3 linked regions of the Rattus norvegicus genome follow. The protein of the gene in region 1 purifies or fractionates together with the protein of each later gene. This does not show direct contact. Links are inferred from orthologs where the notes say so. Each region holds a gene or a part of one and is shown on either strand. Other genes may lie near its edges.

Region 1 (3,654 bases):
ATGTACACACACATACAACTGTACACACACATACAGAACACACCATACATATACTCACATGCACATATACACATACAAATGTACACACACATACATGAACACACCGTACATATACTCACATGTACATATACACATACAAATGTACATACACATACATGAACACACCATACATATGATCACATACACACACCCAAATATATCTATATATGCATACACATACCCATACATATACTCATATATACATACACACACCTATATATACACACATATGCATACACCCATACATGTGATCACATGTACATATACACACCCAAATGTACATACACATACATGAACACACCATACATATGATCACATACACACACCCAAATATATCTACATATGCATACACATACCCATACATATACTCATATATACATACACACACCTATATATACACACATATGCATACACCCATACATGTGATCACATGTACATATACACACCCAAATGTATGCATACACCCATACATATGCTCACATGCACATGCACACCCAGATGTGTACACACATATATACACACACCCATACATATGCTCACGTACCCATATATACACCCAAATGTATGCACATACATATGCACAGAAATGTATGCCTACACATGTATGCACAGACACATGAACACGTACTCATACAAAACACAGGGAAAATATGAGTGTTTTGTTACTTTTTCTTATTCTTGCTTTCTTTTTGTCCTCTAACCAAATTATTCAGGGTGGCTTTCCTGAAGACAGCTCAAAAGAGAAGAATTTTGTATCTTGGGAAAGGTAAGAAATAAGAAAACTGCTTTATAAATCAAAAAATAATTTTTGAGGTTCTCTATATTATAGTCCATGATGCAGAATGAAACCTTTTATTATAATATAAATAGTCTATTATTTATCAACTGAAATCATAGATTTGGGAAAATAAATACTTATAAAGTATTTATTTTGTAATATATAAATAGATCACACAAATAAACTTATTTTCTTACTTTTAAGAATAAAATATTCTTATATGAAGTTACCAAGTATGACTCTTAATGAGTACATCAAAAGCAGTATAAGCTAAAATTATGAGTAGAGTAAAAACGGGGTAAAATTTGTATAAAATGTCTATTTATGCCTACAAGTTTTTCTTTATTTATTGAGGTTTTTTGGAGACAGGATCTCACCGTGTTATCTAGGCTAACCTGGGATTCCCCATGTAGCCAGGACTGGCCTTAAGTTCTGGATCATTCTGCCTTACCCAGTGAGAACTGGGATTCTAGGCACGTATCACCATGGCTACTTATTTCAACACCTTTTAAATGAGCAGTAGTCTGATCTTGAGTCTGACCAGAATATCCTGTTCAGTAAGCGTGTCTAAGGAGTACATAAGTCTCCTTTCTGTGTTTGTTTTTATAGCCAAACACAGCCTCAAGTGCAAGTCCAAGATGAAGAAATCACAGAGGATGACCTCCGGCTCATTCATGAGAGAGAGTCTTCAATCAGACAGCTGGAAGTAAGCCTTACATGCCTATGCCCAACTGTTGCTCCAGTCAGACACCCGGAGAGCGCTAGAGAAGAAAACTCTTAAAACATCTGGCAGTTTGATGAAATGTCTAGTGTAGAATTTGGAATAATTCCTGTGTAGGAAACGATAGTGTTGGAACTGGGATGAGAAGCTATATGCCTCCTACATGGTTAAATCACCGTTCTCTTTAGTATTGAGAAAGCTCCACTCTAAAAATGAACACCACCCAAAGAACCTGGGCAGCGCCCCGAAGCCACCACACCATCCCTTCGTGAGTGAGGCTTTGGCAGTAGCTTTAAGAGAACTGTAATTTTCTTAGGGTGACCACCACGTCACAGAGAGGAAGGATTTGTTCCGTTGTAGCTCTGTTGAACTGATGCCACTCCTAACAGTGGGCTAATGAAGGTCTTCGTGTGCCAAGGCTCTGTGATAACACAGAGTTTTCATTCCATCCTCACACAAGCTCTTTAAACTTGCTAACTATGTCATCATCAGTGACATTTTTCAGATAGGCATACTAAGGCCATGATAGATATACAAACGTCCTAACACACTTAAAAAAAAAATAGTGTTTAGTTGGGAAAAATAAATGGGTATGTACTAAGGAAAATAAAGTTACAATTTATCCAATAAATTTCTTTTTTTTTCTTTTTTTTTTTTTATTAACTTGAGTATTTCCTATATACATTTCGAGTGTTATTCCCTTTCCCAGTTTCCCGGCAAACATCCCCCTCCCCCCTCCCCTTCCCTATGGGTGTTCCCCTCCCAACCCTCCCCCCATTGCCGCCCTCCCCCCAACAGTCTAGTTCACTGGGGGTTCAGTCTTAGCAGGACCCAGGGCTTCCCCTTCCACTGGTGCTCTTACTAGGATATTCATTGCTACCTATGAGGTCAGAGTCCAGGGTCAGTCCATGTATAGTCTTTAGGTTATCCAATAAATTTATAATCTGTTTACCCTCTGATGATGTCTATAATTTCACTATGATCTACCAGATACTCAAAGGTATTAACGCATGACTTTAAATTTATAAACATTTATACACAATTTATTGTAATTGACAAATTCCTGGATAAATTTTTATTGAAATACAAGGATATTCATATTCTTCTAATCAAATATTGGTTGTGACAATTATCAGGTTGAACTTAGTACTCCACAGCCTTCCTCAATTTCAGTCCTGCCTCACTTGAGGTAGTGTGTGTCACAGATTTACTTTGGACAACTAGAAGCCATCCAGAGGCTGTTTAGTTAGAAGTGTTTACACTAGTGTATTTTTCTGACGTTCCTAAAATGTATATATTACTTCTGAATGCATGCTTATATATGCATGAGTGGGTGTAAATTTGTTTCTTTTTTTCTTTTCTTTTGATTTTCCCATTGAAGGAGTGGGGACCGTGTTTGTAATAATGGATAATAACGTGTGATCTTTGTCTTAGGCTGACATTATGGACATTAACGAAATATTCAAAGACTTGGGGATGATGATTCATGAACAAGGAGATGTTATTGGTAAGTCCTGCTGCTGTGGACCGTTCACCTGTCACAGCTTTCTCAATGAGGAGAAAGCTTCTCTTCCATTTTTTCTGTAGTCTCTACAGTTTGCAGGCTGCCCTCGCCTACGTTTGCATTCCTGCTGATTGAAGGAAGCTCCATGTGCTTCCAAAGCTTGAAGCTCGGAGTGTAATCAGCGCCTCCTCATGGAGCCACATGGCATTGCAACCTACTTCCAGGGCTTGCTTTTCATTTTTATCCAAATAGGACAGGGGTCGTCTCGTGATATTTGTAACTGTGTGTGCTGTCTCGTTCTGTGGGAAATTGTTAGCTATTCGCCTGGTCATTTGTCCTGCCAATGACCAAATAGTTTTTGATAAATTAATGTAGCTGATTTAGATGCCAGGGGCCTGAGACCCGTGGCATTAACGCTTTAGATGTGAGATAGAACTGTGGAAGTGTGTCACGGATGAGGTCATTAAGGAAAGGAAAGTATGGGAGCTGGAGGGAGAGGTCAGTGATAAGGGCTCTTATTGTGTAAGCTGAGTCTGAGATCAGATACCTGTGAAAAGGAAGCTGGCTGTGGCACCGTGTTCCTCACCCCAGCACTGTCAAGTGCAAAGACTG
Region 2 (3,754 bases), on another chromosome or scaffold:
TTCCACCCACAAACAGAAAAATGAAACAAACTAAGCTAAAATAAAATACTACAGTTACCATTCCTGAGTATGAATGAGACCTAAGTTTTCAGTGAGAATTAATTACTACTATAAAGAACTGTTGAAAGGCAAGTCTTGAAGGTCATCGTCAGCTGACGTAATTTCTGAAAAGTGCTGCTTCCTTGAAGCAGGTTCTATCAATAATCAGGTCGATTCATTTAACAGCTCATGTGTAATGTGGCAGGTTTTACATGTGAACGCCTATCAGACTCACCATTCTTTCAAATTTCAAATTCAGGTCAACACACTATGGTAGTTTTAAAAATCTTCATTATTTAACACCAATTTAAATGATACATACTTAACCAAATAATTACCCCTCTTCTCACTGCATTTCAAGCCTGATGATTCTAATTTAATTGAAAAACTAATTTAACATCTTTCTGAGTAATTCTCACATTCAGTCAGAGGTAGAAACCTACTGTCGAGTCCGTGACTTGCATGTATTAAAAACAGTATGCACAAACAAAATTCCAATAGGTCACTGGCCTGACGAAGTGTAAACTCCTTGAATAGACCAAGACCTCTGGAATGCCTCCGGGTCCTAGCTTCACTCAGGGTGACTTCACTACAATCTCTTGTACACATCATTCACGGCTACTCTGAATCATCCCACCTGGGACTTACTTCTCTCAATCGTCACTGTCACCGGCATCCTTCAAGTTCCCCTGGCTTCAGGAGGTACACAGTGAGCCATTTATAATGAAATTGCTACTGCATTCACTATCTGTTGAACTTAACTTGTACTGAATGAAAAGTTACCACCTTGGATCATAATTTTGTCATCTGCTTCAGAAGCAATTTGTCTTCTTCCCCTTGGTAACACTGGAAGCTTTGGGAAGCACATGGTATATCACAATAAATGTCTAATGTTGTTAGTGATGGAAAAATTTAGGCACAGGTGACTAATCTTGTTTGAAAGTAGTTTGTTAGGTTGAGATGGACTACTTTCTTTCAAAGAGTGCAGCTAAATTTACAAATTCCTTCACATGCAACTTGTATATCTATATTATTGACACCTTTCATTGCCCTTATTTTCCAGTGGCTCATTCTATTCCTACAACCAACCTTACTAAAAATACTACTATGTCTTCACACTGTCATAAATATTGTATAACTTCTTATAAAATTAAAAATCCTAACAAGCTGTGAATTGTGAGTTGAAAAAGAGGCTTTATTTATTTTTCTTACCTAATTTCAAGTGTGTGTCCATTTACTGGCTTTAAACACATTACACTTTTTAAAACTGTTTTAATTATTCCAATTTATGACAGAATGGCAACATCCTTTTTAATATTTCATACACTTTTTTCAAGTATTCTGCCCTTTCTTCTTTAAAACATTATTGAGAAAGAACTTCAGAACCAGAAAACAGTAATCTAATTACTTTCTGTAATTACTAGGTTATTCCTTTCCCTGATCCATAAAGGCAAAAACAAGTGTTAAGTCATCAAAACTATCTTCTATTGCCTTAGCAGTAGGGCAAGGTCTAGCTCAGAAACGTTCCAAGTAAATCGCCAGACCTTTCACAACAGGCACTCTAGCAATGCTAGCAATGACACATAACCTTTGTAACTCACTGTTACCATACTAACACATCGTTATTGCTGTGCTAAAAGCTTAATACCCACTCCCCAAATGTCACTTCTTTAAAAAAGAGGAGGAGGAGGAGGAGGAGGAGAAGGAGGAGGAGGAGGAGGAGGAGGAGGAGGAGGAGGAGGAGGAGGAGGAGGAGGAGGAGGAGGAGGAGGAGGAGGTGATGGTAGTAGTAGTAGTAATAGTAGTAGTAGTAGTAGTAGTAGTAATAGTAGTAGTAGTAGTAGTAGTAGTAGTAGTAGTAGTAGTAGTAGTAAGATCCTGAATGAGTAAAGCAAAGGAAACGGCGAGGCTTGGGAAATAGGGCTACTCCCCAAAAACTAGCATATAGAGAAAGAAAAACTTAAGACTATTAACCAACTCACCACTGTGCAACGTATCATATAGGTTTAAACTTTCGTCTAAATTCAACTTAAGGAAACCGCTCGTAACTGGGACAAATGATGTGAACCTTCTCCAAAGAACCCAACAACTCGCTTTGGAACTCCAAAGTCACTGACAGAAGGCCGGTAGTTTTCCTCCCACGCCCCTACTCCCGGTTCAGCAGGTCCTCGGGTCCCCAAACTTCGAACTTCAGCACTGCTCTTACCCAGGCCTGCACGCCTCATCCTGCCACGAGAGGGGAAGGAGGGCAAGGAAGAGTGGGTAGGAAAGGGCCAGGGTCACCCAACCTCGGCTTCAGTCCTAAGGCTCCTCAGAGAAACAACTTTTTGCCTCAGAGCGCCACGACATCAGTAAAGTCTAAACACCGCGCCGGTTTATGTCGTCACCCGGACACATATAGGCGCCCTGCAATGAGATTTTAGTTGCATTCTGGGAAATGTAGTCTTCGGGCTTCTGGGGCACAGGGTAAGAGGGGCGTGGTAGGAACCAAGTCTGAAGCGGGTGGGGTTTCCGGAAGGGCAGAGGCTGCTGCTGTGGCTCTAGTCCTGTGAGTCTGGGTCTTTACCTCTTCCAGAGCTGCCAGTAAGGGACTTTATGATGTTAGTGCCAACTTTAGCCGGGGAGAGTTATTCCTCCCTGGCCTGGATGATGGTGACTCATCTTTCTTGATTTTCCCTTGCACTCCCAAAGTCCGAGGAGAGTAAGTCAGTGCAAACTTGGTTCGAGAGTCTCATCTATACTGTCTGAGCCTCTTAGCATTAAAGGAAGATCAATCCTCTTACTTCCTGATCCTGCCCAGTGGAATAGAAAGGGAAAAAAAAAATCTGTATCTTCGCAGTAGAACATCTGGTAGGGAAGTGGGGAGTCTCTCATTCCTCATTCCTCGTTTAATGCATTTGCTCTATGTCTGGAAAGAACCGTGATGTTTAGCTTTTAAACACTCCCTCCTACTTAGGGACCTTTTAAATAACGCAAATAACTTGCGTATTTCAAACCCCAAAGTCATTGACAGAAGGCCAGTAGTTTCCTCCCACGCCCCTACTCCTGGCTCAGCAGGTTCTAGGGTCCCCAAACTTCGAACCTCAGCTCTTTCTTACCCAGGCCTGCAGACTTCATCCTGCCAGGAGAGGGAAAGATAGACAAAGAGGAGTGGGTAGATAAAATTAAGTGTTCTAGTGATACTTACAAAACCAAGAACATGGGCAGAAAAAAACCCAAATACACACAAATACCTAATACTTGTTTGGGTGGAGCATGGGGTCCAATTATGGGCTTAAAAGTTTGTTAGGATGCGTGGAAGTATAGTGGTTAATATCAAAGGATCATTACAAGGTTACACAAAAATAATGTTTTTTGAAGCCAATAGTTATTTACTGCCCATGTTAATATAGTTGTGTTGCTACTGTATGGCAGTGATGTGGTATTTATAATAGAGCTTTCTGAAACTACTATACTATTATTATTATAAAGTATACATTATAAACACTGATCATATAAGTCAATTCCCAACTTAAACATTGACTATAATTACAGCTTAAGTCTCTGCCTTAAGACAGTGTCTGTAAAATACACATGAAATGATTTACAATGTGATATATTAACTGGGAAAATAAACTTTAATAGCATTAAAAGAGTCTTCATAAAGATAAAGTAAGCCGCCATTCTCCAAAAGCAATGCGATTAAATGATGATGGATCTGGGGAAGATATAATTC
Region 3 (3,754 bases), on another chromosome or scaffold:
CAACAATCTCCCTCATGGGCGAAAGGGCAGTAGACACGACAGTCTGTGTCCCTTCTGTTCACTTTACCTTCCCCCCAAAACTTCTCTCTCCCTACAAGATCTCTCCCCCCCACTCCTAGTTTTCTCCCAACCTCACCGTGGCTTCCAAGTCCTCTGTCTTGTTTCGGAGATGGTCCAGGTTCTCCCCTCGGGCCAAGATCCGCTCCACATTCTGGGTCATAATATTCTTGACTCCCTCCACCTCACTCTGCAGGTTCCTGACTCGGTCATTTCCGGCACTCCCACTGGCCTCCTGCAGGTCAATACAGGGGTTAATTAGGCTGGGCAGCAGAGGATCCAAGAGGCCAGAGGAGGTTGGAAGGACCAAAGTAGCTCTACCACTGAGCTAAATCCCCAACCCGAGATTTTAGCCACTTCTAATACTTCAGTTGTTTACAAGGGGAATGTTCTATGGAAACGTTCACGTGGGTGCAAGCGCGTGTATGTCCCAGATCAGCCTCAGGTGTCATTCCTCAGCAGCCATTTGGTTTTTGGTTTTGTTCCCAGAGGCTGGGTCTTCTGTTGGCCGGGGGTTCTGAGATTAGGGTGGACAGAAAGCCTTCTCTACCATCCGAGTGCTGGGAGCCACTGCACCTGAGTGCTTGCACCACCGCACCTGGAGTTTTCTTTTCTTCTAAATGGGTCTAGGGACCCAAGTCAAATCTCCATGCTTATGTGGCAAGCACTTTGTCCACTGAGCCACCTCCCCAGATTTATTAATTTATTTATCCGAGACAGGGTCTCATATAACCTAGGCCAGCCTCAAACTTCCTAAGTAGGATGACCTTGAACATCTGATCCTCCGGTCTTGACTTACCCTGTGCTGAGATTACAGATGTGCCCCATCACCCCTGTTTTATCAGGTGCTGGGGATCAAACCCTGAGCTTCATGCTTGCCAGGCAAACACTCTGTTAGCTGAACCGCATCCTTAGTCTGGCATAAGTGCAGTGTGTGTGTATGTGTGTGTGGTGTGTATACGTGGGTGTGCACACACATTATCAGTAAGTGTGTGTTGGGGAATATACATGTATGCCATGGCACACATGTGGAGGTTAAAGGACAACTCTCATGAGTGGATTGTCTCCTAGAGTTGGACAGACAGGAGTGAGAAGGATATTGAATTCAGGCAGACAGGCTTGCTCTGCAAGCACTTTTACCTACCCAACCATCTTGGCTGCCATATAAGGACATTTTTTTTAAGTCCCAGAAGATGAGATTTGATTCTGGACTGCAAACCACCTTCGGGGGTTTCAGGGTGACAAGGAAAAAACAGCACACAACTGCTCCCATTTTGACACCACAAAGAGGGTCGGGGAGAAAACAGAACTGGATTTCCGTTCTCCTCAGCAGAGCACAGAAAAGTACTATTTTTTTTTTTTTTTTGGTTCTTTTTTTCGGAGCTGGGGATCGAACCCAGGGCCTTGCGCTTCCTAGGTAAGCGCTCTACCACTGAGCTAAATCCCCAGCCCCAGAAAAGTACTATTAACTGGTCCCCATAGCCTCCCTCTTCCCAGTCCTAGTGGGTTCTCTCTAAAACTCTGAGAGCTGGCCAGCAGAAGGACCCTTGCCTGGCCCAACCCAAGTTCCTCTCCAGACAGCTGTTGGTGAATTCTGGTTCCAGCTTGCTGGGCAGTGTAACCCTGGTTCAGTCGGTGTGGCCCCCAGAAGGCATCGTGTGCCGTTGGACCGCACACTTCTGCTTTCCCCACAATTTAGCGCCTGGTAGGCCGCACACCACCGCCTGCTTATGTAGATATTAACAAAAGTTCTTCCTGCTGAGGTCTTCTTCCAGGAGGCCTCTAGATAAAGCTTTTGAACAAGGAGGAAAAAGGCCTGACTCCTCCCTTAGGGACCCAGGGGGCCGTGGTACTGGCCGTGGGTGTGGGCTGAAGCTAGATTATCAGGGAGAACCGCCATCTGGCTTCTTTACAAACCCTTGGCACTGTTGCTAATGTTTCTAGAGAAGAGGGGTGCTTTTTGTGGCCAGGCAGATCCTCTGCGTGTCTGCGTAGATACAGTGCGAGGCTAAGGGGGGAGAACTCCAGTCCGCTGGGCTGGAATCTGAACACCAAAGAGCAGGAGCACTTGTGGTCCGGTAATGTCACAACACCCGGCTCAGGCCCAGCTGGAGGAGGCGGAGGAGGGGGAGGGCGCGGCGCAGCAGCTCGGCTTGGAATTTGGGTTCCCCAGCCCCCACCGAAACCCTGATCCCATCCAGCACCGAGGTCATGGGAAGAAGGAGGTGGAGAAGTGTCGGGAACCCCTGGCCCGGAGTGCGGAGCTATTTGTAGACGAGTTGTCAAAAGTAAGGAGAGAGAGGCAGCGCTGGCCCAACCCGGCCAGCCTACTGACGGCCGCCAACTTACCTATCTCGACACAGGCAACCCCCAGGCCCGATCCCGCTCCTCTAAATCTCTCTTTCCTAGTCCCCACGTCACTCACCATGTCTCGGAGCACTTGGGCCTCTCAAAGCAGAACTTCGCCTAGTCTGTTTCCACCCAAGGCAGCTACAGCTTCACTTCCTGCTTACTCCAACTTTCTGCCCGCCTCCTGCCCATCCCGCGACTCCAGCCTCTCGGGCTCCTGTCACACGTAACTAACTGCAGGTTTCTCCAGGTAGGCGGCCGCCCTCTACTGCCCTCCTCCTAGTCTCCTCCTAAACAAAAGCTTAAGCAACAGGGCAGGGGAGTGGGGGAGGGGAAAGCGTCTAAGTTGTCAAGAAGGAGAAAAGAAGGATCAACAACCCTGCTAAGTTTTCAGTAACTTCTTTTTGTGCTTCAAAGGAGTAATTCTAGTTTTTTTGACTTAAATTAGCCTTATTTAGATAGCAACGAATATACAGGTGAAAAAATCTTGCTGGGCAACCTTTGTCTCTGAGCCATCCTGGATGAGAAGAGAGCACTTTAGTGAGGATTTTAATCCCCAGAAAACGGGGCTGGAGAGATGGCTGGGCAGTTGAGATCACCTGGTGCTTCTGCAGTGACCCAAGTTCAGGTCCCGCACCCACACCTGGCTGCTCACAAACACCTGTATCGCAGCTCTAGGGGGTCCGGATGCCCTCTTCTGGCCTCTGAGGGTATGTGAACACACATGTGCACACACACACACACACACACACACACACATACACATAATTAAAGTCTTTAAAATCTCCAGGAAAGTTCCAAGTTGGCCCTGGGGGAATCTTTGCCCTCCTCTTTGGATTCTTCGTTGCTGAGGTTGACCTCCAGCAGTAGGAGGAGTACAAACAGCAGGGGCAGGGCACCTTAGCCTTGTCACAGGACAGGAGACAGTCAGGGAAATGGATCACTCACCAGCCCCTCCTTTCCTTCTGGAGTTCAGCAGTCCGGCATTTCCTTCCAAAGGTCACCGTGGGGGTTAGTGACCCTGGTCAGGAGTCAGATGGATTAGGAGGGGGCCTAAGCGGAAAGGGTTTTTCCACCACACGTGGCTTTCCGCCAGAGAAAATCTGCTCTTCTCCGGATGGAGTTTGTCAAGACAGAACAATAACAGGGCACCAAGAGAACACACATTCTTTCCCACCCCAGAATAAATAACATTGTCAAGGAGGAAATCTTAGCTCCTCCAACAAATAAGTCTTCTTTTTTTTTTTTTTTCTTTTTGCTATAATAAATTTAGAATCTCGGAATCATTTTAAGACACTTTTGTGTTTTCCCTTGTACATGCTCAGGGACTCAGGGAGGAGCTACATCT

What was found.
Region 2: the proteins of Stx7 (region 1) and Bet1 purify together in Homo sapiens (affinity purification with mass spectrometry; 3 studies listed by BioGRID and IntAct, with this or other methods). This does not show direct contact. The link is inferred for Rattus norvegicus from reciprocal best matches to the Homo sapiens genes STX7 and BET1.
Region 3: the proteins of Stx7 (region 1) and Vamp8 purify together in Homo sapiens (affinity purification with mass spectrometry; 7 studies listed by BioGRID and IntAct, counting the BioPlex papers as one, with this or other methods). This does not show direct contact. The link is inferred for Rattus norvegicus from reciprocal best matches to the Homo sapiens genes STX7 and VAMP8.

Annotation. Positions count from the first base shown.
Region 1 is NC_086019.1:23,021,935-23,025,588, reverse strand, and holds part of Stx7 (syntaxin-7), read left to right. Parts: intron 1-752; coding exon 753-805; intron 806-1,426; coding exon 1,427-1,523; intron 1,524-2,972; coding exon 2,973-3,045; intron 3,046-3,654. UniProt on the Homo sapiens protein: May be involved in protein trafficking from the plasma membrane to the early endosome (EE) as well as in homotypic fusion of endocytic organelles. Mediates the endocytic trafficking from early endosomes to late endosomes and lysosomes.
Region 2 is NC_086022.1:33,078,818-33,082,571, forward strand, and holds the start of Bet1 (BET1 homolog), read right to left. Parts: upstream 2,346-3,754; 5' UTR 2,265-2,345; coding exon 2,246-2,264; intron 1-2,245. UniProt on the Homo sapiens protein: Required for vesicular transport from the ER to the Golgi complex. Functions as a SNARE involved in the docking process of ER-derived vesicles with the cis-Golgi membrane.
Region 3 is NC_086022.1:106,003,020-106,006,773, forward strand, and holds the start of Vamp8 (vesicle-associated membrane protein 8), read right to left. Parts: upstream 2,624-3,754; 5' UTR 2,486-2,623; coding exon 2,483-2,485; intron 293-2,482; coding exon 137-292; intron 1-136. UniProt on the Homo sapiens protein: SNAREs, soluble N-ethylmaleimide-sensitive factor-attachment protein receptors, are essential proteins for fusion of cellular membranes.